Saccharomyces cerevisiae S288C: one gene and its partners. Changing the gene in region 3 together with the main gene of any one other region gives a genetic interaction. Each region holds a gene or a part of one and is shown on either strand. Other genes may lie near its edges.

What was found.
Region 1: mutations in SIP4 (region 3) and CIT3 together harm fitness more than expected from each alone (negative genetic interaction), as found in Saccharomyces cerevisiae (one large-scale study listed by BioGRID).
Region 2: mutations in SIP4 (region 3) and SSH4 together harm fitness more than expected from each alone (negative genetic interaction), as found in Saccharomyces cerevisiae (2 studies listed by BioGRID).
Region 4: mutations in SIP4 (region 3) and MUP3 together harm fitness more than expected from each alone (negative genetic interaction), as found in Saccharomyces cerevisiae (one large-scale study listed by BioGRID).

What each region holds. Positions count from the first base shown.
Region 1 is NC_001148.4:554,424-562,715, reverse strand, and holds CIT3 (citrate (Si)-synthase CIT3), read right to left. Parts: upstream 6,340-8,292; coding exon 4,879-6,339; downstream 1-4,878. Other genes in the region: YPR003C (uncharacterized protein), read left to right, coding at 1-1,212; PDH1 (putative 2-methylcitrate dehydratase), read right to left, coding at 2,781-4,331; histone acetyltransferase catalytic subunit HAT1, read right to left, coding at 6,987-8,111. UniProt on the Saccharomyces cerevisiae protein: Dual specificity mitochondrial citrate and methylcitrate synthase with similar catalytic efficiency with both acetyl-CoA and propionyl-CoA.
Region 2 is NC_001143.9:208,331-212,832, reverse strand, and holds SSH4 (Ssh4p), read right to left. Parts: upstream 2,241-4,502; coding exon 501-2,240; downstream 1-500. Other genes in the region: signal recognition particle subunit SRP21, read left to right, coding at 1-338; RRN3 (rDNA-binding RNA polymerase I transcriptional factor), read right to left, coding at 2,703-4,502. UniProt on the Saccharomyces cerevisiae protein: Components of the endosome-vacuole trafficking pathway that regulates nutrient transport. May be involved in processes which determine whether plasma membrane proteins are degraded or routed to the plasma membrane.
Region 3 is NC_001142.9:261,670-270,639, reverse strand, and holds SIP4 (Sip4p), read right to left. Parts: upstream 4,715-8,970; coding exon 2,225-4,714; downstream 1-2,224. Other genes in the region: TRL1 (tRNA ligase), read left to right, coding at 1-638; ARG3 (ornithine carbamoyltransferase), read right to left, coding at 825-1,841; protein kinase activating protein DPB11, read left to right, coding at 5,589-7,883; GWT1 (glucosaminyl-phosphotidylinositol O-acyltransferase), read left to right, coding at 8,088-8,970.
Region 4 is NC_001140.6:22,334-30,802, reverse strand, and holds MUP3 (Mup3p), read right to left. Parts: upstream 4,563-8,469; coding exon 2,922-4,562; downstream 1-2,921. Other genes in the region: putative ATP-binding cassette multidrug transporter VMR1, read left to right, coding at 1-2,825; YHL037C (uncharacterized protein), read left to right, coding at 4,624-5,025; CBP2 (Cbp2p), read left to right, coding at 5,294-7,186; EFM1 (protein-lysine N-methyltransferase), read right to left, coding at 7,263-8,469. UniProt on the Saccharomyces cerevisiae protein: Very low affinity permease for methionine.

The DNA of each region.
Region 1 (8,292 bases), on a different chromosome or scaffold from region 3:
TTTAGCATGGACAATTTTGATGAATTGAAAAACCCTTTAACTCGTCCTAGACGTAAGCTAATACCAGATCTTTTTAGTGCATCTCTAATAGTGGCAATGTTGGGTTTTTTTGAATCTACGACCGCGTCGAAATCTCTTGGAACAACTTACAATCTTACCGTTTCCTCTAATAGAGAACTAGTAGCTTTAGGATTCATGAATATTGTCATCTCATTATTCGGTGCTCTTCCCGCATTCGGCGGATATGGAAGATCCAAGATCAACGCCCTATCAGGAGCACAAAGCGTAATGTCGGGAGTGTTTATGGGTGTCATCACCCTAATCACAATGAATTTACTTCTTCAATTCGTACATTATATTCCTAATTGTGTTTTATCCGTCATAACAACCATCATCGGAATTAGTTTATTAGAGGAAGTGCCAGGCGACATAAAGTTCCATTTGCGATGTGGTGGCTTTAGTGAACTATTTGTTTTTGCTGTTACCTTCTGCACTACAATATTTTACTCAATCGAAGCAGGAATATGCATCGGATGTGTCTATTCAATTATAAATATTATAAAGCATTCAGCAAAGTCAAGAATCCAAATTCTGGCTAGGGTAGCGGGAACGTCGAACTTTACGAATCTTGACGACTACATGATGAACATGAAAAGGAACTCTCTGGATGTTGAGGGCACAGAAGAAATCGAGGGATGCATGATTGTTAGAATACCTGAGCCTCTCACATTTACAAACAGCGAAGATTTAAAACAGAGACTTGACAGAATAGAGAGGTACGGTTCGTCTAAGATACATCCTGGAAGGAAATCACTTCGCTCGAAGGATTCCATAAAATATGTCATTTTCGATTTAGGTGGGATGACCTCAATAGATTCTTCAGCCGCCCAAGTGCTGGAGGAAATTATCACTAGTTACAAGAGGCGCAATGTCTTTATTTACCTTGTCAATGTATCTATAAATGACAAAGTAAGAAGGCGATTATTCAAAGCAGGTGTAGCTGCTAGTGTGGAAAGAGCGCAAGCAAATAACAACGAAAATAATACTAGCAACACATTTAGTGATGCAGGAGAGACATATTCTCCGTACTTCGATAGCATTGATGCGGCTCTTTATGAAATTGAGAAAATGAAAATTAAAGGGAACAACGTCCCGAACAATGATTCGGAGAGTTTTATGTCCAATACTTTATTTAATTCAAGTCTAGTGTAAAACTTCGAAAGAAACAGAGGAGTCTGGGCATATGCGCATTATGAAATTTATTCCTTGCGGCCCTATAATATTTTTGGGGCTTATTTATCAAAACAGTATTGTCTCCTCAATTCTTTAGTTTATTTATTTCTTTACGATAAAATCGTTAACAAGCTTTCAAGAAGCGCATTTATACGTTATAAAACCCACAAAATTGAATACAAAAGCAAAACCTTATTGTCTTAATGAGCCGCACAAACGCACAAACACTTAAACAATCACTTTTGATCCGAGTTTCCGCTCTCCTCGCTCTAGTTAGATTCTAATCTTATATAAGTTATATAGGATAAGTGATATTCTGTATGAGAAAGAGATGAATTGAGAGACAGTCCCTAATTCAAAGAAAGTCGAAATGTAAAAATTAATAATGTATATTGTCAAGAGATGTTCGAATTAGTTGATAATTGTTGGAATTTTATTGTTGTTAAAGGCCATAATATTTCGTATATATATTATACTAGAATTTCTCTATGAGAAGAATCCACGAAGAGATCGATATTCTCGATATAATGGCATTATTGTTTTCCTTTTCATCTTATGTGACTGTCATTCATCATCCTACTAAATTACCAATCCTTGCAATTAGCTTCCATTACACCTGATGACTATTCTCAATCTTCATATCATCTTCTTAGACCGCACGTGATGATATTGAGAAATGGGTGAATGTTGAGATAATTGTTGGGATTCCATTGTTGATGAAGGCTATAATATTAGGTATACAGAATATACTAGAAGTTCTCCTCGAGGATATAGGAATCCTCAAAATGGAATCTATATTTCTACATACTAATATTACGAATATTCCTCATTCCGTTTTATATGTTTCATTATCCTATTACATTATCAATCCTTGCACTTCAGCTTCCTCTAACCTCGATGACAGCTTCTCATAACTTATGTCATCATCTTAACACCGTATATGATAATATATTGATAATATAACTATTAGTTGATAGACGATAGTGGATTTTTATTCCAACAGATATATTAGTAATATGAACACTACTAAATGGATGATATTTTAGAATTTTTATTCCAACACTTACAATAATACTAGCCCAAAGATGATAACTGACTCTGATTCCAACACTGTGGATTGAGTTGATAACACCCATTTATCAACTAATCCTGTATTGAGTTTTTAGCTAAGGTGGTTAGAGCATAGAAATTGAGCGGATTTAGCTCAGTTGGGAGAGCGCCAGACTGAAGAAAAAACTTCGGTCAAGTTATCTGGAGGTCCTGTGTTCGATCCACAGAATTCGCATTTCTATTTTTGTATTTTTCCATGAATTGACGAACTCTTGCAAGTTGAAGAAAGAAAAATAAATAGAGCCAATTATTTAATTTTTTAATAGTTATTATTATGTAGATAAATACCAGTAAAATTAAGCCAGCATAATTAGAAAACCGCATGTTCTTTGGTTTAATTATGTTTTGAAAGTGATTTCTTGTTTATCGAAACGGCGCCTTTTGTCTTTAAAAATTGAAGTAGGTACCATGCCGTTCGCTCTTAAAGAGCCAACCATTCATCCCTCAGTAAACAAATCCATGTATTTGTCGATTTGCATATTCAAAAAGTTTGTTTTTGAACTTACCTTCATTATAAGGTCGACTTTATCAGGGCTCTCTACAAAATGTTCGCGCAGATGCCTTTGAAATTTATTCATTAGTAATGGTATTCCTTCCTCTCGTCTAAATTTGTGACCAACAGGGTACTCTACAAAAATTTCATCCAACTGCGTCCCATCGTTCAGCTCTATGAGAAGAGCGTTTCCTATCGACCTTTTATCAGGATCGTGATAGTTTTGAGTGAGATGAGTATCTTCGATACAGTACATTTTCGATCTCAAGTTATCGATCTCAGGATTTCTTGCGACCTCATCCGAATAATCAGTAGCTGTGAGATTACCAGTAATCAGCGGAACCGCGATCATGTACTGGATACAATGATCCCTATCGGCATAATTATACAGAGGACCGGATTTATCTATAATCCTCATTGCCGCCTCTTGAGTTCTAATTCTGATCGATTTAATATCTTTAAAAGTTTTCCCTTGTTTGGCAAGAATCCTATATGCTTTTACAGCAGCTTCTACAGCAGTTTGCGCATGGAATTCGGCAGGAAATGATATCTTGAACAGAACGTTTTCCATGACGTAGGAATCATATTTTGATCTTTGTTGGAATGAAAAAGGTTTACCCTTAAATAAAACGTCATAAAATCCCCAGGTTCTAGCTGTTAATACTGAAGGTATCGTGCCAACATTAGCATTTTTGACTAAATAAGCCAAGTTTACAGCCCTCGAAACTGCATCTCCCGCCGCCCACGACTTTCTAGATCCAGTATTTGGGGCATGACGGTAAGTACGCAGTGATTGACCGTCTACAAATGCTTGTGACAATGCTTCAATAGTTTGTTCCTGGCTCAGGCCCAGCATCTTCGAGACAACACCAGCCGTTGCTACTTTCACGAGTACCACATGATCTAAACCTACTTTATTGAAAGAATTTTCGAGCGCTATAATACCTTGGATTTCATGCGCTTTAATCATTGCCTCTAATACGTCTTTAACAAGAAACTGTTTTCCATTCTTTCCGTGGGTAGCCTTGTTTAATCTGGACAAGTGATCCGCGACAGCTAAAATTCCCCCAAGGTTATCTGATGGGTGCCCCCACTCGGCAGCTAACCAGCAGTCATTGTAATCTAACCAACGTATTAGAGTACCAATGGCAAAAGCTCCCTTCACTGGATCCATAACGTAAGATGTGCCCAATATTTTTGTTCCACTGGGAACTATTGTTCCTGGCACAATTGGTTTAATAATATTTTGAGCCTGCTTAAATTTCAAAGCCGCCAAGCCACAGCCTAGAGTATCAAGGAAACAGAGTCGTGCTGTATCTAGAGCCAAAGATGATTTTAATGGGGTTTCATGGACATATTTCGCGATGTCCTTCAAAACCTTATCTGGATTTGGTCTTTCATTAGTTTGTATAGACGCTGTACTCAGCGCAGCAAATTTCTTTTTAGGCAAGCATACCTTGATTTTATTATTTTTTAGATTTTTGGCTAAAAACATTCTGTTTGCTCTCGATCATCAGAGAACAGTAGAAAATACCAAAATACTATTTGAGAAAGTCCTAATAAGTTATACATACATTATGGCAGATTTATATACCTTATACACTTTCTTTGGTCATGCTTTCACATTAGTGAAGGTAAACATATGAGGGTAAAAGTTGAATGACTAGAATGTGGAGAAATAAGGTCATCTCAATAAAGTTTGTAAACGGCCCGAGGTCCGACATCGGGGAAGTGGCTACCTATAGACAGCATCATATATCAGAGAGATTGGGGACGAAAAGCGCGATGTGGTAAAAAAATAAGTCAAAACTCCAGAAATAATACAATCAGAGAAAAAAAAAAAAAATAAGAATATATTTTACTAACGAGATTGGAATTGCTGAATAATTTTTTGATAGGTGTGTTAACCGACCATATTTTCCCCTATATGTTTTCATGATGAATATGTATAAATTAGCTATGATTAGACATGCTGTATGGAATTTTATTTATATTTCAATATTGTAATAGCAAACGAAGCATTCTTGTAAATTGGAACTGCGTTACAACTTGTTAACATTGCTTGCTTTGGTAAGTGCTTCCAGACCCTCCAAGTTCAAACTCTTGGGCCTTTCAATTGGTAAACCTAGAATGCGATCCCAAACAAGTTGTGTCAAGGGTCCCATGGCCCTTGAACACCCAAAAATGACGGTAAAGAATAATAATTCCCTGATTCCATAATGATAAAACAAAATCCCCGATGCAGAGTCAACATTGGGAAATGGATTCTTACTCTTTCCGTGTTCCAACAAAACCTTAGGCGCTATTTCTGCCAATTTTTGCATCAACAAAACGTTCTTGTCGTTCTCAAATTCAATAGGCCTCTTTTGCGCAAATTCAAGCATTGCTGTAAATCGAGGATCCGGTTTACGCAAAACTGCGTGCCCATAACCGGGGATCACACGGTTTGAATTCAAAATTTTCCAAAGATAATCTTTGATTTCTTGTTCTCGTGCAATGCTGGAAATATTAGAGTTCATCTCTATGAGAAACCTTACTACTTCTTGTGCTGCTAACCCATGCAAAGGACCCGCTAATCCCATTATTCCAGATGAATAGCTGAGATACGGGTCACTCAACGCACTTCCAACCAAGTGGGTGGTGTGAGCAGAAACATTACCACCTTCATGGTCTACATGTATACCGGTATATAACCGCATCAAGTTTATGAAGTCCAGGGATTGCTGGGAAGTAAGGTTGCATGTATTAGAAGAGTTCGTTCCATTTGTCATGCCGAGCAGGGAACATATGTTTGTACACCAATCCACCTCCTCACTATATTGACCTAATGGGTGTCCCTCATTTGTAATGTTCGAATAAATTCTCCCAGTCAGCAGCGGGAGTGAAGCAATTAAATTTAGCGAATCTTCAAGAGTATCTTTCCAAAATTCCATCTTTCCTATGAGGCCCTTTTGGTAGTTTGTAGCAAAGAGGGATCCTTTGTTCATTGATGCTAAACCAATTGCAAGTTGGGTCATAGGGTGCATATCTTTGGGTAAACTTGACAAAACTTTCTCTGTATAATGTGGCAATTTCCTTCCACGAATAGCCAATTCTTTCCTGAAAGAAGCAGCTTGCTGGAAAGTTGGCACACCACCTGTCATCAACAGCCATAACATTGATTCTGGCAGGAAATTATCGCCATCAATACCTGTATTAGGTAATCTATTTTGACATTCTTCAATCGTTAAACCTTGAAATTTAATGCCATGTTCGGGATCTAATGATGTTCCTTGCCAAAACATTGACTGATTACCTCTCATCCCACCTAGAACTGATGAAATGGTAATCGGTCCGACAAACGTGCTGCCATAACAGGCCTTCAATTTCTTCACAGCATCTCTTTTCTTAGGTATCACGTTTTCTAATGCTTCCTTGAGAGTCAATGCAGAAGACTTTATAATTGCAGACGAATTGAAGGACCTTCTGCATATATGTGCGCCCGGTAGAAGCCTTTGTACCATTTTGTATTCAATTATTTAGCGGCGTCTATGTATAAATTCTTGATCAAATACGATCTTTTTTTTATGATTAGAATGCTTGACAAGCCAGTCATCTTAAATACATAGGGATGAAAAAGCTTTATCTCCTATTTAAGGTCATCCATTTTCAGTGTGGAGTAAGTCATCAAAACTGCTATTTAGCCGCTTTGCCGATTTCGCTTTAGAACCGCTACCATGGTGTGTCACTTCCCCAATTTTATTTTTCTGTTCAAATTGTTTGCTCATAGAAATATTTATGTTTTTTTGTCTTTCAACTGAATAATATTTCTATTTTCGGAAATCTTAACCAACAAAAAACAATTTTTTATTTTTGTTTAATTTAAAGAAAAAAATTATTTTTATAATTAAAAAAAATTAAAAATAAAAAATATATCATGTGATCTATTTGTGATCACTACCATGATAAGAAATTTTATATCAGTCAAGATAATCTCTTTAATATAACCTGTAATTTAGAATTACGACAACATAACGGCTTCAACCTTTGCATAAGCTTATATTAACTATAGAGACACTTTGATGATCATCTCGATGATGTATTTATAAAAGAATTTCTTATTTCAGGCTTGTTAAACAAATAAATATGTTATTATATATTTAATAAACAGTTAACCTTGAGATTTATTTATCGACTCTATAATACGCCTATAATCATCTTTGACTAAAATAAATGAATTTTGTAAAGCTTCTCTTGCCTTTTCTGGATCAGTTTGATCTAGGGCATCATAATTTTTAATGTACAACCTATTCTTTACCTTTAATTCAAATGATGGAGAATTGTTTAAAAGAAGAAGCATTTCCACAAGACGATTAAACTGTCTTTCTTCCAGTTTTAAAGATTTTCGGCTTGACTCCAAAAACTCATCAGAAAGGTCGGAGTGCTTCTGAAAGACAGCATCATAACCAAGTTTTCGCAGTCTTTGAATATCATTCCTGTCGCGAAGATCGTCAAATGCTTCGTTTGGATCCTCTACAGTAATTTCAGTAATACTTTTGTCTTCTAGCCAAGATTGGATTATAGCCTCATAAAGACAGGATCCGTGGCCTTTATTTTGATAAGGTGGAAAGATCAGAAATTGAGATATTTTGGCTCTGAATTTTTTATCTATATCCTCATCGAAAGATTTTGCTCCAAGGTAGTGCCAATACTTGTAAGTAGTGACGAAACCAATCAATTCTTTTGTTTTCTTGTTCAACAACCAATAGATTTGCCAACTCGGGTCAGTCTCATCTATATAGTTAGCGGCTTCGATAAAAAGTAATGAAAAGATTTGAACACGACGATGCATTCTCCTGGCAAAATCGTCAACCAAACTCGATTTATATACAACAAATTCTTCCCCATTCAACGAATACTCTGATACTTTTTCAAAAACATCAGATAAATTATGTGTTTTTCGTTCTTCTGCAAAGCAATCTACCCATTTAGCTTCATCCCTAACAATTACATCATCCTTTGGTAGAAATGAGAGTAATTTTTTTTCCACGTCTACAATATTGTCGTCTCCTAATTTTGCTGAATACTTGACGTTAACATACGGCTTGAATGTTACTGAATCAAATGCTAGGTGGATGATGAGATCCTTATAGCCGTAGATCTTTTCGGAGTCACCGTAAATTGGATACGTGAATAATGGTGAAAACTGAACAGCGTTTTCTCCAACTATAGAAACTCTTAAGGCTTCGTTGGCGCTTGAAGTCCACGTTTCAGGCTTGAAATCATTGGCAGACATATTCTTGATTCTCACTATAGTTATAGCTTAAGCATAATTTTGCTGAAAACAATTCCAGAAAGATCTATTCCTAACTTCAAGTAGAAATACATAGAAATCTAATAAATTCGTTATTCGAAGACAATATATTTATCACTTATAACGGTGTGCTATTTCAAGAACTTAATCCATCAATTCTGGG
Region 2 (4,502 bases), on a different chromosome or scaffold from region 3:
TTACTACTAATAAGAGTAAAGATGTTTCAAGATTACTTAGTGCATTAGGCCCACGAGGCGTATCTATAACTCCAGGTAAAATTGAAAAAATAGCACAGTCGAAGAAGAAAAATAACAAAATAAAAGAATCGAGTAAAAAAATAAAAGGTAAGAGCATCCAAGACATTGTTGGTTTAGCCACCTTAATTGTCAACACAGATGTCGAAAAGAGCGATCCTGCGGCTAAGAAAACTGCTACAGAACCGAAGCAAAAAGCTAATGCTGTGCAAAATAACAATGGTAACTCTGCAGCTTCAAAAAAGAAAAAAAATAAAAACAAGGGCAAAAAAAAGCGTTAAATATTTCATGTATACTAGGAGATTGAATATGAAATAAAATACTATATATATATATTTAGATATAAACCCATCTAAACTATCGAATTGAAGAAAAAAAAGCTAGTAGGAATGTATATATTGTGTATGCGTAAATTGTAAAAAAAACCAAATTCATAATGTCTCTTATTTTCTCGATCTGTTCTTCTTTTTAGAAGATTTGCCTCTGTTTCTTTGACGTTTTTTAGTAGATTTATTTCTAGGGTTCTTATTGATAGCTCCATCTGATACTTCACGGGGGGTATTTGAATTTTCCGGTCTTTTATTGCCATCATCTTCCAATAATGGCGAATTTTCATTGCAACCAGCGTTCTCATCGTTGTTATTAACATTGTTATCGGTGTTGTTATCGTCGGTTTCAAGACTGTCGTGGTAAACATTATTTTCTCTGTCAAAGTTAGAAGAGATTCTTTCATACGTCCCAACAGACCACAGGGGCTTACTAGTTTGCGCCGTTATCCTAGAGGATGACCCTTCTTTTACCTTCATACTACCAAAGAAATTATCAGTGTCAGCATATCTTGGTGGCAATTCTTCTCCTTTCTGTAAAATAGTATCCTTCTTGATCTCGGTTCCATTATACGCAGGAGGAATTCCAATTTGGCCATAAACACTCCCAAACGCATATTTTTTCACATTGGCTTCTATAAAGACGAACCCAACTTGGCCCAAATTAACATGTAATTCAACCTCATCTGACGTCATTTCATCACTTTCATCATGTGGATCGTGAACTCTTTGAAGATCTTTGGCGACTTCAATATCTTTGCCTTCAGAGAGAGCTTCACGGAAGCTAACATTATCCGGGTCTTCCAATAGACCATCCCTCGTATATGTTCTTGTATATGCGGCATTAAACGCGCCAATTCCAATGAAAAGATCAATGCCAATATTTTGTGTTACATCCATTAATTTTTTCCCATTATGTGTAATGAAGATTGTACCTGTTTTATATCTGTAACCGAATCCTACCGTGTCACCTTCTTCCAATTTTGGTAATAATGTGCTGGCAGTGAAGGGGTTATTTATCCTCAGTTTACCTGTGGATTCGTATGCAATGGAGTATTTGGCCATGCCCGGTACCCTGAAATAAGGATATGGTACAGTAGTCAAACCTATACTGAATATACTATTGGACTTTTGAATATGTCTGAAAATTTTAACTTCGAAATACACTGCGTCCTTCCTATTGTGAGGTAGGGGATAGTTCATTACAGTGGATGAGCTCTTATTGAACTTTGAAAATTGAATATCTAGTTTATCCTGGACAATAAAACTGGGTAGAAAGTTTCCATATTCGTCTATATTATCATTAATGCTTGGTAGCAAAAAATAGCTTTGAATGCCACGATCCTTAATAAACTGCTGGTCGTCACTGTCCAAATACGTGCCAAAGTCCTTCACCATTGGCGGGCTCATCATTTGAAACTCTTTCGCTCTTATATACAACTCAACCTCGTACGCTGACATCTTTGGTAATTCTTCAAGTTCTCTTTCCTGAAGAACGATCTCATCATCAAACCCGCCAGGGGATGCAAAACTCGAATCCAACAAGATGCCACTATGTTTTTTACCAAACAAAGAGTGCAGAGTTCCTGAAGTTCGTGTACCTAAGGCGTTCTCTTCGTCGTATTCTGATTCATCATCACCACAAAAGGTGACATATGCCGCTATTACTACCAAGATGAGCATTAATATTGCAAACGTAATAGAAAGACTTATTAAGAAAGCCAAACTAATTGCTGCAGAATCTGAATCCATAGGGGGAGTTGGTACCATGTTAGGGTCACCTACTTTGAAGTCATGATTCGGACTCTCTAGATTACCAAAAGAACTATCCAAAGCCTCATTAAAAGTGACATACATTGCTCTTGTATACCTTCAAGTTTTTTTCTTCTTCCTAGTTACAAATAAAATAGATGAAAAAAGAGCTATTACTGCTTGTTCTGTTTATTTCGATTAATAATACCCACTATTGACTTTACTGAATATAAATATGTGCCAAGTAATCTAAGTACAAGCTGTTCGGATAGCTGAGATTTTGACTCAGGAACCCCTCCCCACAGAAACTCTTTAATAAGTAGACCTGCGAATGTAAAGCGCGCACGTAGTAAGTGACGAGAACAAACAAGCGTTCTAAAATGCAAAATATCGTGAAGAGTACACTGTGGAAAATAAAAATACTAAGTTTCTATAGTATCTAGAAATCTAAAAAATGTGTTAAATGCATTTATGCTATATATCCTCATTTCAACTATTAATGGGGTGACTACAGTGTATCATTAGTTTGTGACGGGCATGTCTCGAAGATACCTATGAAAAAAGACCTTAGTCATCCGACCCATCACTTTCATATTCCCCGCTTGCTTCACTCCACTCTATGTAGTATTCCTTCATTAAAATTTTATAGTTTTTCAGAAACAAAGGATCATATGGGAAGTAACTCTGTAAGTCAATAAATTGTTGTCGAGTGGCTAAAGACCAAGAAGACGATGTGGTATTTGCTTGTGCGGAATTTTCCTTCTTGTCGCTATCAGCTTTGCCGATGATTCCCCTCAATCTTTCATTGTTGTTATTTTCAATTATGCTGAAACAGTACGCGACGCTTTCTTGTTGGGCAATACGAGCAAACATCAACATGACATTTTCATTACAAAACTTTAATGGGTTAAATTTTGAAATGACCATTCTTTGAAAGAATTTGTCCAGTTCACACTCCCAGTTACCATCTGTATCTCTGAAGATGTTATGTCTGAAACAGAAAATGTAACAAAGTGCTTGAAATGCTGCATAGAAATGTTTAAACCTTTCCATACCTCCACGTTGATCAACTTCTTCTTCTCTTTCGATAACGTATCTATTCAACCAGGACGTTAAATAGCTTGCAACGAAAATAATTTGAGTTCTGGATAGTTTCTTGGCCCTCGCAATGTACGACCCCAAATATTGTAATGACTTAATTTTCTTCTCTGCTGCTTCGTTGACGGCAAACGAAATATCTATCAGTGTCACTAAAAATGAATCCATTAGTTCTAATTGTTGTTGTGAAACATGGAACATGATATATTGAATCGACCTGGTATAGTACGTGGGTAGAACATGCGTTTTAAATAATGTTGTTAGAGTGTTGAAGACTCCTACGCCTTCACCGCTTTCTAAACTCTCCGGCGTCACTTGCTCTTCCACATGCGTGCTTACCAAAGTTAAGATAGAGTCCAATTTGGTGGAAAGTTCTTTGATTCCCTGCGTCAACTCCACATTATATTCTTCAGTACCGTCCATACCTTCAATGATGTCCATATCTTCACTATCACTTTGACTACCGTCGGCTGCTCCAGACCTTAACTCTTCATTACTGTTCCCACAATTTTCATCATCATCGTCTCCTGAATCATCATCTAAATCGTCGTCATCCTCTAGATCAACTTCCTCTAGATCATCGTCATCTACATCATCATCTAATTCATCTAATTCATTTTGTAACTCGACATCAATCGAAATAATCTTTTCTATCAGTAAGGACCAAATTTGGAATCCTAGCTCAGAGCAGTAGCCTCTCAATTTCAGCAAATTTGAAGTGTAATTAACCAACTTTCTCCGAGTATCATTTTTATTTGGGAAAAATTTGGCCAAATATGTATCTATGAATCCCATCGAGGAGGGAATCATCCTTAAGAAATATTTAAGCATATCATGATGACACACTGTCTGTTTGATTGGTAAAATAAAACAAGATACCAGTATCATCGAAACGTCTTGCCACCATTTGGGTATACTCGAGCAAAGGATTTTGATGAAATATATATATTTACTTAGAGTGTGTGGAGGCAATTCCCACCACTTCTCAAAGTTTATGATAGATTGTATGAGGAAAGTTCCCCTGGAGGATTCTATCCTGTTGATATTACTAGATAAGATATCCAAAAGAATATTGAGATTCTTATCATTAATTCTTTCAGGATTCTTGCTCGGAAGCGCTACTTGATTGGCAATTATGCCGATCTGGGTTGAATCATTCTTATCCAGATCATCTAGGGCAGATTTCACGAACCTGCTATACATGGCCGCTGAAAACACTTCATCTTTTATCTCCTCTGGTTGAAGGGTTACCAGGCCAGTACTATCGGA
Region 3 (8,970 bases):
ACAATAATCAACAAAAAACGCCTAAGTTAATTAAACCTACATATATCTCAGCTAAAATAGAAAACTACGATGAAATTATTGAATTGGTCAAGAGGTGTATTGCTAGCGATGCAGAGCTGACTGAGAAATTCAAGCATTTACTAGCTAGTGGAAAAGTTCAGAAGGAACTTCATATAACATTAGGTCATGTCATGTCGTCCCGTGAAAAAGAGGCAAAAAAGTTGTGGAAATCATATTGTAACAGATACACTGACCAGATAACGGAGTACAATAACAACCGCATAGAAAATGCACAAGGCTCTGGTAATAACCAAAATACGCAGGTAAAAACGACCGACAAACTGAATTTTAGGCTCGAAAAACTATGTTGGGATGAAAAAATCATTGCTATTGTAGTGGAACTGTCTAAAGATAAAGATGGATGCATAATTGATGAAAACAATGAGAAAATTAAAGGGTTGTGTTGTCAAAACAAAATTCCTCATATTACGCTGTGCAAACTTGAAAGTGGTGTTAAGGCTGTTTATTCCAATGTTCTATGTGAGAAGGTTGAATCTGCTGAAGTTGATGAAAATATAAAAGTGGTGAAATTGGACAACTCGAAGGAATTTGTTGGCAGTGTATATTTAAATTTTTAGACCGCGGTCTGGCTGTCTTAAAAACGTTAATTTCGTTTAACCAAGTGCTTTATTTGCTTGGAATGTAACATAGTTTTACTAACATTTTTTTTTTTTAATTGACATTGCAAAATAATCAATGTATATCATTATTCATGCATCTATATCTGTATTTATATATTAGTTATTAAGAACACGAAAGAAGGATTATTTCAAGTCCTTGAAATTACCTTTATTATTAACAAAGATATCAATGGCAGACATAGCTGCATATAATCTGTTTTCTGCTTCTTCAAAGACTATGGAATGCTCTCCATAAAAGACATCATCACTAACTTCTTCTTGATGTCTTGGCAGACAATGCATAAATTTGTAGTTTGGATCAGCCACAGAGACAAGTTCTTGATTGATTTGAAAACCTTTGAATTGTTTCAGCTTGGCCTGTTTCGCAAATTCTTCACCCATGGAAACGAAAGTATCGGTTACTAATATATTGGCATTGGTGGAGGCCTTTAAAGAGTCGTGTGTTAATTCAAATGTCGCACCGTTTCTCTCAGCAACTTTCTTTGCTTCATCGACAATATCGGAATCCATTTCAATACCGGGGGGAGTGGAAATACTGACACTTATACCGAATTTCAGACATGCGATGCACATATCATTTATGACATTATTGGCATCACCAATCCATGCCATCTTCAATTTTGAATTGATTCCCTTATTTACTTCATCTAGAGATATATTGAAGTTTTCGATTATTGTTAAAAGATCACAAATTGCTTGCAAAGGGTGGAATTTGTCACATAGAGAGTTGATGATCGGTACAGAGGAATCCTTGCAAAAAGCAAGTATGTCTTCATGTTTGTTCACACGGGCAAAAATACATGAAACCATAGATGATACAACCTTGGTGGTATCGTAAAATGATTCATTGACACCAAGCTGAATATCCTCTTTACCTAAAAACATCGGTTGGGCACCAAAGAAGGTGGCTGCACCTTCGGTCGAAATTCTCGTTCTAGTTGATCTTTTAGTAAATATTAAGGCTATAGTTCTACCCAATAGTTTCAGATGGTTGGATTGGAAATCATTCGTTTTATTTGCTTTAAAAACATTCTTGAAATGTTGAGCTCTTTGTACTAAGATTCTGAATTCTTCATCAGAAAGATCTTTTATAGAAATCAAATGACGTAAAGATGAAGGCGTGGATGCTGTGGTTGACATGGTAACGAGTGTACAAGTTGATGGGTAGATGGCTAAAAAAAAAAAAAAAAATTGCTCGTTATTAACTGTACTTAAAGGACATACAAGGAATAAACTGCCTTTAGAGGTGAAAAGTCGATTTATATAGGTAGATTTTTTTGGATGGACGGGAATGGGAAGCCGCGCCGAAGAAAGAAACGGTGACCAATCCGGCTCAAAAAAATTTGTCCGGGCATTTCTCAGCGGCCGATACTGCTGTGAGTTGCACTTAACGGAAAAAATGACCAGTTTTTTGTCATCTCGAAACGAAACGGAACAAGAAAGCATATGAGTCACGACGTGACCCTCGAAAATTCACTGCTATCAGAGGAAGAGCTGAATGAGTAATACGAAGGAGCGTAATGTTAGAAGGTCGAGTTCAAAATATTCTGGATCTTGAATTTTTGTTTACTGGAGTCATGGTTGCTAACGATGTCTCGGTTATCTAAAATAATATGATCTAAATATTTTTTCTTAGAAGACGTAACTGATGGCGAATCAGGGTTTAAATTTAAATTTGTATCTGTGTTGAAATCTACCGAATTGCTATCTCTGTTTTCAAATAGGGATAACCTTTGTGAAAGCTCTTTATTCCTATTCTTGCATTTATTTTTACTTTTTTTAAAAGGAATTTCTAGTGGTAAGCTATTGTCACTGTCACTATCCTCTTCATCATCATCTTCCGCATATCCTTCATCTGTTTCGTAGTCATAGTTTTCAAAGTTGTTCATAAAAATTTTATTAAAATCGTATGGTGACGCATCTAGGAAATTGGAGTTAGAACTCGAGTGTTGCAAAAGGTTTAGCTGGGTATTGACCTTAGACGCGAAATTCGACTTGACTGAACTTGAATTAAAGCTCGATACGGCATCCAAATATCTCAATTTATTCAAACTTATTAACAATCGTTGCTCTTCTTGTGAGTAATGGATTGTCTCAAAAGGAAGTAATTTGAAATTGATTTTGAGGATTTGTAAAAAAGGGTTTGTGGAAAATTCATCATAGTACCATATTGGACACCAGTGATTTAAAAAGTTTTGAAATTTTTCAAACTTTATTTTACTTGAGTGGGGCTGGTTTTGACCACTTTCGTATTTAAGTGATAATGACCAATTGTTTAAATTGTTTAAACATAAGTCAATAATGTCAATACTATTGAAGGGCGTAAAATGGTAGAGATTTAGTTGCTGTGGTTGTAACTGTTGATTATCATCATTATTAGAGTCATCTGTAAGAATTAAAAAATATAGGGACAATATCTCTAACGAGATATCCTCTTTCTTCAAATCTTGGTCCCCTTCCTTTAAAGTCATTAATTTTAAACTCAAGTAAAATAAAGTTAATTGAATCTCCACAAAATCAGGTTGATTGAGTTTGTGATTTAGACCCGTCAAATTCTTAAGTAGTAAATTTGTTGTTAGTTTTTTATTTGAACTGGATGTTAAGAATCGGAAGTTATCGTGATCACTCAAATTGTGATAAAGGTTCCACAGTAATAAATTTTTTTTAAAGCTTTCCAGTTCATTCTGGAAAAATTGGAAATTTGGGTCCGAAACATTTAAAGATGAGATATTCAACAAATTACATCCATCCAAAGAATATATGATGAAGTTTAACAAAATTTCAAAGGGCTTCAGCCTGGGGATTTCTAGAACCGAGATTGATTTCGGTTGAAATTCTTCAGTTAAAAAGTTGGACTTTGGTAAACCTTGAATTAAGGACCACCATGAGCTTAAGAATTGAAAGCACCAAAATGTCACTATTCTATCATCCTCTTCATTAGATTTATTATTATTATTGTTGCCTGATATAGGAATTAAATTTTTGGGATTTATGTACAATCCCATATTCAAAATATTTGTAAAGTTTAGGTTTAGCAAATCATTGGTCCATATTACTGAATTTACATTTGAATGTTCTGTTAACGAGCTTTTACTTTTACAAGAGTCAACAGAGGCGCCCATAAAATAAAAGATGGATAAGTTAACCAATTGCAAAACTTTCAAGTCTAATTTGCTGTTTGTTGTCAGAGAAACAATAAGCTTCGTGACTTTAAAAAGCTTGAAATCATCAAAACAAGACCAAGTAAATTGAATAATATAAAGTAACGCCAGTAGAGTTATGGGTTCACCTGTCATTGCGGTTGAATTAATCTTGTCTAATAGCAAATTTTTCCATAAATTTGTAGGGTATAATAGAAGTAGCAAAGAATTTTGCCTTTTAAAAAAATCTTTAATAATGACAGACAACAAATTTTTCAAAAACTGAAGGTTATAATCATATTTAAGTAAAAGAAAATTTGGGAGATGATTAAAGTCACCATTCAGGTTCAAAAAATTTGTTAACAGTTGCAGTTGTAGATCAATATTATTTCGATCGTCTGTAAAAACTACTGCTTTTTGAGTAGGAAAAGTATTAGTTAGAATATTCCATGTCAAATGTCCCAAAAACCTTTGATTTTCAGACTGAGTGTTGTAATTATCAAAACAATAAAATGTATCATTAATGAACGGCAAATTAGAATTTGCATTGGCGCTGGAACTCGCATTCATATTTGTCAAACGGACGACCTCTTTTTCTAGTAGTTCTGTATACCCCTTTGGAAGACCTCTCCTCGACAGTTTATCCGAGGTTTTGCAAGGGAAGTCAATTTTCGCACAGTTTGAACAGTTCGGTTTTAAACCGTCACACTTGATTTTTTTCAGTCTGCATCTATCGCAAGCATGCGCCTTTCTGACAGAGAAATCAGTGATTGCGTTAGAGGAGCTTTGACCGGTTGGTACTATCAGGACTTTATTGCTGCAGGAATCTGTATCATCGAGGGAATAAGACCTGCCATATTTCCTCTTGGCCATCGTCTATTCAGAGTAGCGAGAAGAAAAAAAGAAGCAAAAAAAAAAAAAAAAAACGAGCAAAAGAAATCGAGCAAAGGAGAATGAGCAAAGGATAAACGGAAAACAATGGTAAAGAGGATTAGCCGCTGAACTAGATTGTAAATTGAAGCGGAAAAGAAAACAAAGGAGAGGAAATCGGAGAGGCAGAAAGCTTTCTGCCTTATATACTTTTTTTTTTGCCGCCGAGTTCTGAGATCACGCCCTTAAATTTAGCCGCCAAAACACCGGTCGAACGGCGAAAATGGATCGGAGTCTTGATTGCACCCACACCTCGCATTTTGTGCACTAACATAAAATATGACGAAGTGAGAGTCATGACACACAGAATAACTTAAAAATACTTGAGGAAAAAGTTCTCATATTATGAGGTCATAATAACTACATCGTTATTGTTGCGATATAACTTCAATGTTTTCTGCCTGCAAAAGAATCCTTCCTTTTCCTTCTTTAATTGAAGAGTCCATGTAACCTTGTTTCGTTACTTATATTTATTCACCTTTCTACTTTAGTCACATAACGTAATCTGGGCATAATCATTGAGGTATCATTATTAGCTTGAACTCGTGGTTCCTATTGTCGCCAGGTTTCTTTCAACGCATTTGCTCTTTCCGCTTCGCATACGGCGGTGATCAAATGCAAAACTTACCCTCATCAGTATAAGAGAAGAAAAACTGCATGGACTATTCGCGTATTGCCTGGTAAAGCTATATAGTACTATTGGTAATGTTTGTACTGTTTTATGTACATGATGAATAAGAAGAGACAAATTTTACGTGATATATAAGTCTTCTATTTCTAGTATGGCAGGTATTTTATCAGTAGCATTAATATTACTATGAAGCCCTTTCAAGGAATAACATTTTGTCCGACTGCAATAAATAATGAAATCTTAGCTAAAAAAATATCAAAGAAAATTATTAAGTTAGGAGGTATATTTTCTAAAGATTTGACCAGACAAGTTAATGTCCTTGTTGTTGGGTCCACCACCAATACAAACAAATTTAAATTTGCGGTGAAGCATAGATTCGATATCATATTTATTGACATTCAAGCCATTGATGACATTTATCAGCTCTGGCTGTCTGGAGAAAATATATTGCCGGACTCTAATACGGCAACAATGACAGGATCCACCTATGAGATGCTGAAGATACTTTACCGGCGATTTTCGTTTAAATATTTGCATAACTTCAATATCTTCATTGGCAGAATAACCGACACTAACATAACTTCCATCGATTCATTGGTTAGGAGTATTAAAAAGTTAGGGTGTTCTAGTTATAACTATCAAAACTTTGTAATCAAAGATACCTCTTCACACAATGATGACGATGATCAAGGTCAGAATGGGCAGATATCCATTTTTGTTACGGATACTTTACTAGGAGCAAGAGTTAACGCTGCTATTGAACAAAATATACCTATTGTACATTTCAAATGGATTCTCGATTGCCAAAAAAGAAGCGCACTGTTACCGTACGATCCCTATTATCTTTTACCAAATATTAAAGACCTGCCCTATGATTCAATCGGATCAAACTCTTGCGATTGCTGGGATAAAATAAACACCACCTTTCCAACCAATATCGATGCCCAATCCTCTCTGCAGCGGCAGCAATCCTCCAGTACCCTGACTCCTTCGCTCCCGAAAACATCATCCCTCTTGAATAAATTTAAACCAAAGGGTGAAAAAATATGGGACAAGGCAATGTCTCTACAGCAGCATAGTAAGACAAATTTTTCAGTACTAGGGCAGTCACCATTATCGATAAATAACAAACAAGAAGATTTAAGTGATAATAGTACTTTGATTTTCAAAAATTGTGCGTTTATCATTCATCATATTTTTCCTGGCAATCACCGTTCAATACTAACCAAAATTGTTGTTCAAAATGGGGGTAAAATTGAGACGTCTTACTTGAGCGGCATTTACGATCATTCTTATTACATCATTCCAAGTAATAAAGCTCTTGACTCCTTCAATGATTTACCTGAGATTATAGATGATAATGATGGTATAGTTACAGAATTTTTCATTGAACGCTGCTTGTATTATCAAAAATTACTACACCCAATAGATTTATGGTCAAAACCCTTCCTCAGCACAATAGAGTTTCAAGTTTCGTCTTCTTCAAAGTTATTGCATCATGAATTTTCTTCTTCCCCTTTTCTGAATGTTACTATCACTGGATTCTCTGGCGTAGAGCTGTTACATCTGACTAAAGTATTAAATCTTCTAAAACCAATGGGCATCAATTATGTAGAATACCTCAATAAATCCACTGACATTCTGCTAATCAACTTAGCAGCTTTACCCAGTATCCCGAAAACCCATCCGTTATGGTCGAATGAATTTAGCGATCTTTTTACTCAGTTTTGCATTAATAACAATAATGATGATCCTGGTGATAATAACAGAAAAGATTTTCAAAATAATTCAATCTTGAGAAATTCGATGAAAAGGAAAATTGAATATATCAAGAAATTCCACTCCATACCGGTAGTTACTCCAGCATTTATTTTTAAATTATTGTCCGCTGCATCTGGAGAAAATAATGAAATCTTTTTAAACAATATCAAGTGGTGTATTATCTGCCCAAGAGGACACAAGGACGATTTTAAATGTAAGATAAAAAAACCATACTATACCAGCATTAGTTCAGAAAAAAAGTACCAAAACAATGATCCAAAAATCGACAAAACTATTCTTTTGAAAAGAAACAATTCCTCATTATCGGAGCACTCTATGAAAGATACCAAAAACGAATTATTGCAGAAAATTAGAGAAACTGATTCTGGAAGAAAAAAGCGTAGTGTCTCATCGAGTATCATGGATGTTTCTTCAGAGAGACAAATGCCGGATACGAAAAGGATCAAGTTGGAGTCACTGCCAAAAAATTTCGTTCCTAAACAAATTAAACGAACCACGAGTTGGGGCACAATAATGTCAGAAAATGTGCCTACAGAGCAGCCGACTGCAATTTCTAATCCAGAAGAGATCCCAAGAACTGAGGAAGTTTCACATACTCAAGTTACCTATGGCTCCATTCAAGATAAGAAACGTACTGCCTCTTTAGAAAAACCTATGAGACGACAGACAAGAAATCAGACAAAGGAATTAGATTCTTGAAATGTAGTCCGTAATTTTATAAGATATTCATTTACATACGCCATCTACAGCATTATTCAAATCTACTCATCTATATGTATTACCGTTTTGTATGATAATACTTTCCATGACATGCTCGCGTGAAAAAACAGCATGAGAAAAAGAGGATCGCAATAAGAAGACACGTAAATATCTAAATAAATGGCAACAGTACATCAGAAGAATATGTCGACTTTAAAACAGAGAAAAGAGGACTTTGTGACAGGGCTCAATGGCGGTTCTATAACAGAAATTAACGCAGTGACATCAATTGCTTTGGTAACTTACATATCATGGAACTTATTGAAAAATTCCAACCTTATGCCTCCTGGCATTTCCAGCGTGCAATACATAATTGATTTTGCATTGAACTGGGTTGCTTTGCTTCTATCTATTACTATTTATGCTAGTGAACCATACCTTCTAAACACGCTAATACTGTTACCTTGTTTGCTCGCATTCATATATGGAAAATTTACTAGCTCGAGTAAACCTTCTAATCCAATATACAATAAAAAAAAAATGATTACACAGCGGTTCCAACTAGAAAAAAAGCCGTATATTACTGCGTATCGTGGTGGGATGCTTATTCTGACTGCTATTGCCATCTTGGCTGTAGATTTTCCAATTTTCCCAAGGAGGTTTGCCAAGGTGGAAACTTGGGGGACATCCCTGATGGATCTTGGTGTAGGATCATTCGTTTTCAGTAACGGTATTGTTTCTTCTAGGGCACTGTTGAAAAACCTAAGCTTGAAGAGTAAACCCAGCTTCTTAAAAAATGCATTTAATGCCTTAAAATCAGGAGGAACTCTATTGTTCCTAGGATTGCTGAGGTTGTTTTTTGTAAAAAATTTGGAATATCAAGAACATGTCACAGAATATGGGGTTCATTGGAATTTTTTTATCACCCTATCATTGTTGCCACTTGTATTGACCTTTATTGATCCCGTCACAAGAATGGTTCCACGCTGCTCAATTGCAATATTCATTTCATGCATTTATGAATGGCTACTTTTAAAGGACGATCGCACTTTAAACTTTTTAATTTTGGCTGATAGAAATTGTTTCT
Region 4 (8,469 bases), on a different chromosome or scaffold from region 3:
ATAATCAACTAACCATATCTCCAGACAAAAATAAAATTGAATTTAAAAATGCGACTTTAACCTGGAATGAAAATGACAGCGATATGAATGCATTCAAATTATGTGGTTTGAATATTAAATTTCAAATTGGTAAGTTAAATTTGATTTTGGGTTCTACAGGATCTGGTAAAAGTGCATTGCTGCTGGGTTTACTGGGTGAACTAAATCTAATTAGTGGCTCTATCATTGTTCCGAGCTTAGAACCAAAGCATGATTTAATTCCCGACTGCGAAGGTTTAACCAATTCCTTCGCATATTGTTCACAAAGTGCGTGGCTATTAAATGACACGGTAAAAAACAATATTATCTTTGATAACTTCTATAACGAGGATAGGTACAACAAAGTAATTGATGCATGTGGGCTGAAAAGAGACCTGGAGATTTTACCAGCAGGTGACCTAACAGAAATTGGTGAAAAGGGTATAACTTTATCAGGAGGGCAGAAACAGAGAATTTCCTTGGCGAGAGCTGTTTATTCGAGTGCTAAGCATGTCTTACTAGATGATTGTTTGAGCGCTGTCGATTCACATACTGCTGTATGGATCTATGAAAATTGCATCACAGGTCCACTAATGAAAAATAGAACCTGCATTTTAGTTACGCACAATGTTTCATTAACACTTAGAAATGCCCATTTCGCGATTGTGTTGGAAAATGGCAAAGTGAAGAATCAAGGAACTATTACAGAATTACAAAGCAAAGGGCTTTTTAAGGAAAAATATGTTCAACTTTCTTCTCGAGATAGCATTAATGAAAAGAACGCTAATAGATTAAAAGCTCCCAGAAAAAATGACTCTCAGAAAATCGAACCTGTCACCGAGAACATAAATTTTGATGCAAATTTTGTCAATGATGGCCAGCTAATAGAAGAGGAAGAAAAATCAAACGGTGCCATAAGCCCCGATGTTTATAAATGGTACCTGAAATTTTTTGGAGGCTTCAAAGCTTTAACAGCCCTGTTCGCTCTTTATATCACAGCTCAAATTTTGTTCATCAGTCAGTCTTGGTGGATACGACATTGGGTCAACGATACCAATGTACGAATAAATGCTCCAGGTTTTGCGATGGACACGCTGCCATTAAAAGGGATGACCGACTCTTCGAAAAATAAACATAATGCATTTTATTACTTAACCGTATATTTTCTTATTGGTATCATTCAGGCAATGCTAGGTGGTTTTAAAACAATGATGACGTTTTTATCCGGTATGCGAGCCTCCAGAAAGATCTTTAATAATCTGCTAGATCTAGTTCTACATGCCCAAATACGATTTTTCGACGTGACGCCGGTTGGTAGAATCATGAATCGCTTTTCAAAGGACATCGAAGGTGTTGATCAAGAATTGATTCCATACTTAGAAGTAACTATATTTTGCCTAATTCAATGCGCATCAATTATATTTCTCATTACCGTAATAACTCCTCGCTTTTTGACAGTCGCCGTTATCGTTTTTGTTTTATATTTCTTTGTGGGGAAATGGTACTTAACGGCAAGTAGAGAATTGAAAAGGTTAGATTCAATAACCAAATCACCCATTTTTCAACATTTCTCAGAGACCTTGGTAGGCGTTTGCACAATTCGTGCATTTGGCGACGAGAGGAGATTCATTTTAGAAAATATGAACAAAATTGACCAAAATAACAGAGCATTCTTTTATTTATCAGTTACTGTCAAATGGTTTTCTTTTAGAGTCGACATGATTGGCGCATTCATTGTTTTAGCATCAGGTTCTTTTATTCTGCTCAATATTGCAAATATTGACTCGGGTCTTGCCGGCATTTCTTTGACATATGCCATTTTGTTTACAGATGGTGCTTTATGGTTAGTTAGACTGTACTCAACATTTGAAATGAACATGAACTCTGTTGAAAGACTAAAAGAATATTCTAGCATTGAACAAGAGAACTATCTTGGCCATGATGAAGGCCGCATTCTACTTCTAAACGAACCATCGTGGCCAAAAGATGGAGAAATTGAAATTGAAAACTTATCTTTACGTTACGCGCCAAATTTGCCTCCTGTCATAAGAAATGTTAGTTTCAAAGTGGATCCTCAAAGTAAGATTGGGATTGTCGGAAGAACTGGCGCAGGCAAATCTACCATAATAACGGCATTATTCAGATTACTAGAACCAATAACCGGATGTATCAAAATAGATGGGCAGGATATAAGTAAAATTGATCTCGTTACATTACGTCGTTCCATTACTATCATCCCTCAGGACCCTATTCTATTTGCAGGTACAATCAAAAGTAATGTTGATCCATATGATGAATATGATGAAAAAAAAATATTCAAAGCACTTTCACAAGTAAATCTAATTTCTTCACATGAATTTGAAGAAGTGCTTAACTCGGAGGAACGCTTTAACAGCACTCATAATAAATTTTTAAATCTTCACACAGAAATAGCTGAGGGCGGCTTAAATCTGTCCCAAGGTGAAAGGCAATTGCTTTTTATTGCACGATCATTGTTACGCGAGCCAAAGATAATACTTTTGGACGAGGCTACTTCCTCTATTGATTACGATTCTGACCATTTAATTCAGGGTATTATAAGAAGTGAGTTTAATAAAAGCACAATTCTTACTATTGCACATCGTTTGAGATCTGTTATCGATTACGACAGGATAATTGTGATGGATGCCGGTGAGGTAAAAGAATATGATCGCCCTAGTGAACTGTTGAAAGATGAACGCGGTATATTTTATAGTATGTGTCGTGACAGTGGGGGCCTAGAGCTTTTGAAGCAAATAGCCAAGCAATCAAGTAAGATGATGAAATAATCGAATGTTTCTTTCTTTTATTCAAAGATGAGGATGAATATTATTTATTAAAAATGCAATAGTAGTCTATAAAATATTTATGTAGAAAAGGAAAAACTAACACAGACATGGCTTTTTCACCCATTCTGTGACAATGAGCCCATCATGCAAATAAGTGATTTTGGGTAAAAGTTTATAATGGAAGAATTTAGGTAGTAAAACGAATTTAACTAACCAGAAAAAGAAGCATGCAACTATTACCAGTAATGACATGATTTGGTAGGGCGGCAGGAACCCAACTCTGTTTAGGCTAGGGTCGGCAAAGAATGGTGCCATCAACATGTATAATGATAATGTAATAATGGCTAATACTCCAAAAGTAGATGCACGAATCTCTGGGACTTCGTTCTTGTGTTTGAACCTCCAAATAAAGAGCCCAATAGCGACCAATAATAAGAAAAACTGATTACCATAACCATCCATCGATACCAGATAATTGAAGGATTCGCCCTCTTTGGGTAAAATCAATATCCAAGCAATGGTTATAAAGCCACATAAAGAAATAGATGGTAGAGGTGCATCAAATGGCCAATTTTTGGACATATGAATACTGAATGGTAAATAACCTTCTTTGAATATTTCCTGGTTAACTCTTGATATACTGTAAATGACAACCAGAATATTAGATGCTGCAGAAATGGCGATAGAAAAAGCAATGAATTTGCCACCAACTCTGGGTCCGAAAAGTTTGGTAAACAACACGGAACCAACCAGGGGGCCTGCACTAACAATTTCCTCATATGTCAAAACTTTCAAGTATGCCACATTCATCATTGTGTAGCAGACAAAACAAATTATCAACGATAAGGGACCTGACACCTTCAACGTCTTAACGGGATTCTTAATTTCTGATGTAACTGTGTGAACTGTATCCCATCCAGAAAAACAAAAGAATGAGCTGATAAAGGCAGTAGCAATAGAGGACACCGACAGGAGAGAATCTTTCTCAACTTGGGTTACTGGGAGGTCCCAGGCAACTTGACCGGTGCTTTTATAAAAGAAAAGCGTGTATAGCCCGGCAAAGCACATCAAGACAATCATGATCAACTTCAAACCACCAAGTGCGTTCTGTATAAACACTCCGTGCCTTACAGAGACACCGTGAATGAGAACGGCAAATATTATAAATGATATGCTGACGTACTTGGACCACGAATCATCCGTGACTCCAAATGCGCTCAACACGTATTTACCGAAGACGATAGATCCCGTCAATGCATAGCCAGTTAAAACACTGTAACACGAAAACACCACACTAATTAATAGTCTGGGTCTTTCAAAACTCCGTTCGAGGAAGTTTTTACGTCCACCTGATTTCGGTATCCAGGAACCAAATTCTAGAAAAAGATACAATCCTGCAAAAGCGATCGCAGCGCTAAAAACCCAGATCGCAAAATATATCAGCTTATTACCACCTGTATTCAGTAAAATCACACTGGGTACTGCAAATATACCTGACCCCATTATCCTCGAAACAAATAACACAACCGTGGAGAACACACCTAAATGTCTTCCCTGTGGAACTTCCATGAATCTTGCCGTCTCTGCCTTTATCGCCTGCGCTTCCACAGTATCCATCGAACTGAATGATCCAGTATTTGTGGAACCATATTTTGTGGTAATATCACCAACTTCCACATCTATGAAAACATCTTGAGAGGGATTTGCTTTCCCACTATTAAAAAGCAGCGGTTCCATTTTTACTTATTTTGAGCACTGTACGTCTACGTTGCCCTCAGCAACTTAGACTACAAACAGAATGTACAGATCATCGATAAGCATCCAGGTCTTTATATGTGTATTGTTTTTGCCCCTTGACTCAGGCAGGCCTCTAATCTATATGATTGATTTGTCATATATATGCAGCGACGCCACAGTTTTTTCCGGCAAGAGTCGCGTGATCTTTTTTTCTAATCCAATCTGTGAACATACTAGAGGAAACTTCTACCTTTTCTACCTGAATTACATTATCAACACTTTTGCACCAAAAAATCGTGGTACTAGGAGATGCAAACCTTTTGGTCTCCACATCAATTGCAGGAAAAAGATTGACTGTTTGCATGTGCAATTATCTTATATATTATGTAAAAATAAAAGTAGGAAACGCCACATGGATGCGCATGCCATAACCCTTGCATGGTTAGCACACGCCCTCACGTGAGTGAATTTGCCAAAATGATAGTCAAATGTGTTGATAGTTCGATAAGAGGTGAAGTTGGGGAACTAAAGGTGGAATAGAAAATGATAAAACAAAGGAAAGAGTGAAGATTGCCGCCGAGTAGAATCCAAGATTGGTGTGTATGGGTGTATTTAGTGAAAGTTCAATTGCATTGAAGATGACAAATTATGCTTAAGTGAATGGACAATGAAGGCTTCTCTTGAAGGAGTAAGGCTGCGCTGAAGGAAAGGTTTGAGACAGAGTGACCAAAATGGTGAATTGGCAAACATTGTTCATGGTCTCATTGAGGAGACAGGGCAGTTCCTCTCGTTACAGGTATAAGTTCAACATGGAGAATATCACACATCAGGTGTTCCCTCGCTGTAAGCAAGCGTTTAAGAAGACAAACTTATCTTATGAATATTGTGATCTTGAAGGAGTACTGTATAATATTTCACTCACGGACTTGCAAAAACTGCTATTACGTGATATAAACGCCCCTCGCGAACACGCATTCAAGATTGTTAGAACAGATCTAACTCAAAAATCCTCGAAGAAGAGGATCCAACACTGGGAACGGATTGCGCCTATGTTTGACCACCCCTTAAGTCTCTACGAGAAGTTGTTCAGCGAAATGGATGAGGACTTCAAGCCATCTTTCGAGTGGCAACAATTAATAAGGGTACGATGCAAAGATGATAAGTTGAAACTGCAGCGTGTAATTTGGCCTAAGTCGATATTTTCAAACTTTTGTCGGGGAATCGGGGTTAAGAAGAGCACTTACGATAGACTCTTGGAACAAAATAATGGTGAGGTACCCATGTTTGTAAACCCAGCTAATGCAAAGCCCTTGCCTCTTTTCCAGGTTTCCGATGAGGCGATGATTGGGGAATTCGATGGAATTGGTATTTTCCCTTACTTTGTAGATAAACATAGAGAATTTTTCGTTACTGAGGTAGACAAATTGAAGACCAAGATAGCTTCGCCACTTTGCACCTTGAATGAACGAAAGCGCATTGAGAAGGCTAACGCTGGTCGGATACTGGCGAACGAAGAGGGTAAACCATTCTATCTGGATGCAAACAGTGCCACAACTCGAATCGCTGGTGGTAATGTCGTCACTTTGAAGCAACTTTTAGAAAGATCGGTTAGCCATAAGACATTGTGGAGCAAACAATCAAACAAAGACAGAACGTGCCCTGGAGACATTTTAAGAGCTACAATATTATCAAACGACTTCTCCATCCGGCAATTGAGGGCTGAATTTTGCAAAAATTTCATTCTCTACAATATATTCACCATTTTACAACGTAACAAGAAAAGCATCCGTTCCTTCTCTGGTAACGATAATGCGCCTTCCTTTCAATTTAGTTGGAATGTTTGGGACTCATATATATGGAAGCAATATCAAGAGACCGAGTCCATGAAAATACCCACGGACCAAGCTTCTCTGATCAACTACAAGACAAAATACGACTCTTTTCTTCATGACCTACAAACATATTCCGCACTGGTAATTTCAGAAATGAAATGGAACCAATTCTCTATTTTCCAAAATGATGAAACGACTTTATCAAGATTTGAACACATCACATTAATTTTGCAAACCGTGCTGACAAAATCGAAAATGATTAGAATTTTCCAGCCAAACTTGTACAAGTTTATGCAAGATGATTTAAGACCAACTTTAATGGAGTTGGTGGGTTTCACTGAGTCAATAAATGCAACAATAGAACCTGGTTTTGCGAATGAACAATCGCTACAATCTGCAAACGGATTAAAGAAATTGGCCAACCAACTTTTATACTTCGAACAGGAAATATATGGCGAAAAGTTCCGCGTAAATAGGCCCATCCAGCTTCGTCCAATAACATTATCAGCAAACTACAAAATTGTTATTCTGGATAAGAAGAACGCCATACCCGAAATATTTCAAACCCTACTGAAATTCATGACACAAATAACGACATATTTTGTTAAAGATTTGTCGGAGGTAGAACTTCATGGGCACATGCATTGTATTGATAAAAAAATGCTGGACAAGTCGAAATTCATGTATTTATACGAAGAGAAAAGCAACGAGGAAGTGAAAGCAGCTTCTCCTCAAAAGGAGAAGATAGTAGATAATATCATTGGCCTATTATCAAATGATGAAGAACATTAACATGAATTGGAAAAAGAAAAAATTGCATGTAAATATATACATACGTAGAATTTTATACTTAGGCTACAGATCAAAGCTAAATCTGTAAGTCGTATGCCTTCTTCATTAGAAATATAGGCTCTTTATTTGATTTCCTGATCCAAACCAATCTATCAATCGCAGTATCTGCCACAATGAACTGTCTTATGCCCCAATCACCGACACTATAAATTTCTGGAATTCTCTCCGATAAATTAGGGAAGTATTTTTTATAGAACGGCAAAAACTCCATAACATCTTCTTTTTCAATGACAATTGAATCACTAACTTCTTTGAAGGTTTGTTTAATGAAACCTCCCTGATTATTACTTTTATCGTTGATTAATTTGACTATCCAGAGCAACAATGCGTCATTAAGACAGTCTTTTGTGATCAAATCTTCGTAATTTATAGCACCAAATACCAGTAAGAGAGAATTGGCAAATATTTTGTCGTTTTTAAAAATTGTCTTGAATGACAGAGAAAACTCCTTATTATTGCTATATATTTTTTTTTGTAAAACGGACAATTTCTCAGTAGTGGCGTTCAGAATTTTTTTGTTATCTTGATAGTATAGTTTGATTAGTTTAATAACATGAGGGCGTAATTTTTGAGTCGAAGAAGTTTTAATTTTAAAATTCTTATAAAACAGCAATCTCTGGGATACTACAGATGTTAATTGATCAATACCTTCCAATACGCTCCTTACGGTTGGAGTTTCTTCAGACTTTAATTTACTTAGGTAGGCAAATAACGCTAGTAGAACCGGTGGTAATGGTTCAGAAATTTTTAAACTAAATTGTAAAATGGTAGTTTCTCCATCGTCAGTAACAAAATTACCTGATTTGTTAAAATCCACGGGCAAACCGCTAACTAAGGTGGATGGTAGCTTTAAAGTCAACCTAGAGAAGTCAAACTTATTCGAGGAATCCCAAAACCCGTAGTTTAACAAACATTTTTCATTAGAAATATTACCATAATTATTAAACAATTCATCCTGTGCACTAAATGTGGTAGTCTGCGACATGAAACAAAGTTCATTTTGTTCATTCATCTCCCATCTTACTGGTACATCGTTTTTATGGTTTAATAAATCTACTATTGGATACAAAAATCCTTCGTTCAGATTGGTGCGGTCTGTACCGGCCCTGCCTAAAATGACACGAGGAAATGCCCTAGAATTAAAGATGCAGTACGACCAAAGATACGCCACGAACGAGTTCCATTCCGAATCTTCTAGTTTACATCCATTGATGTGTGCGCAG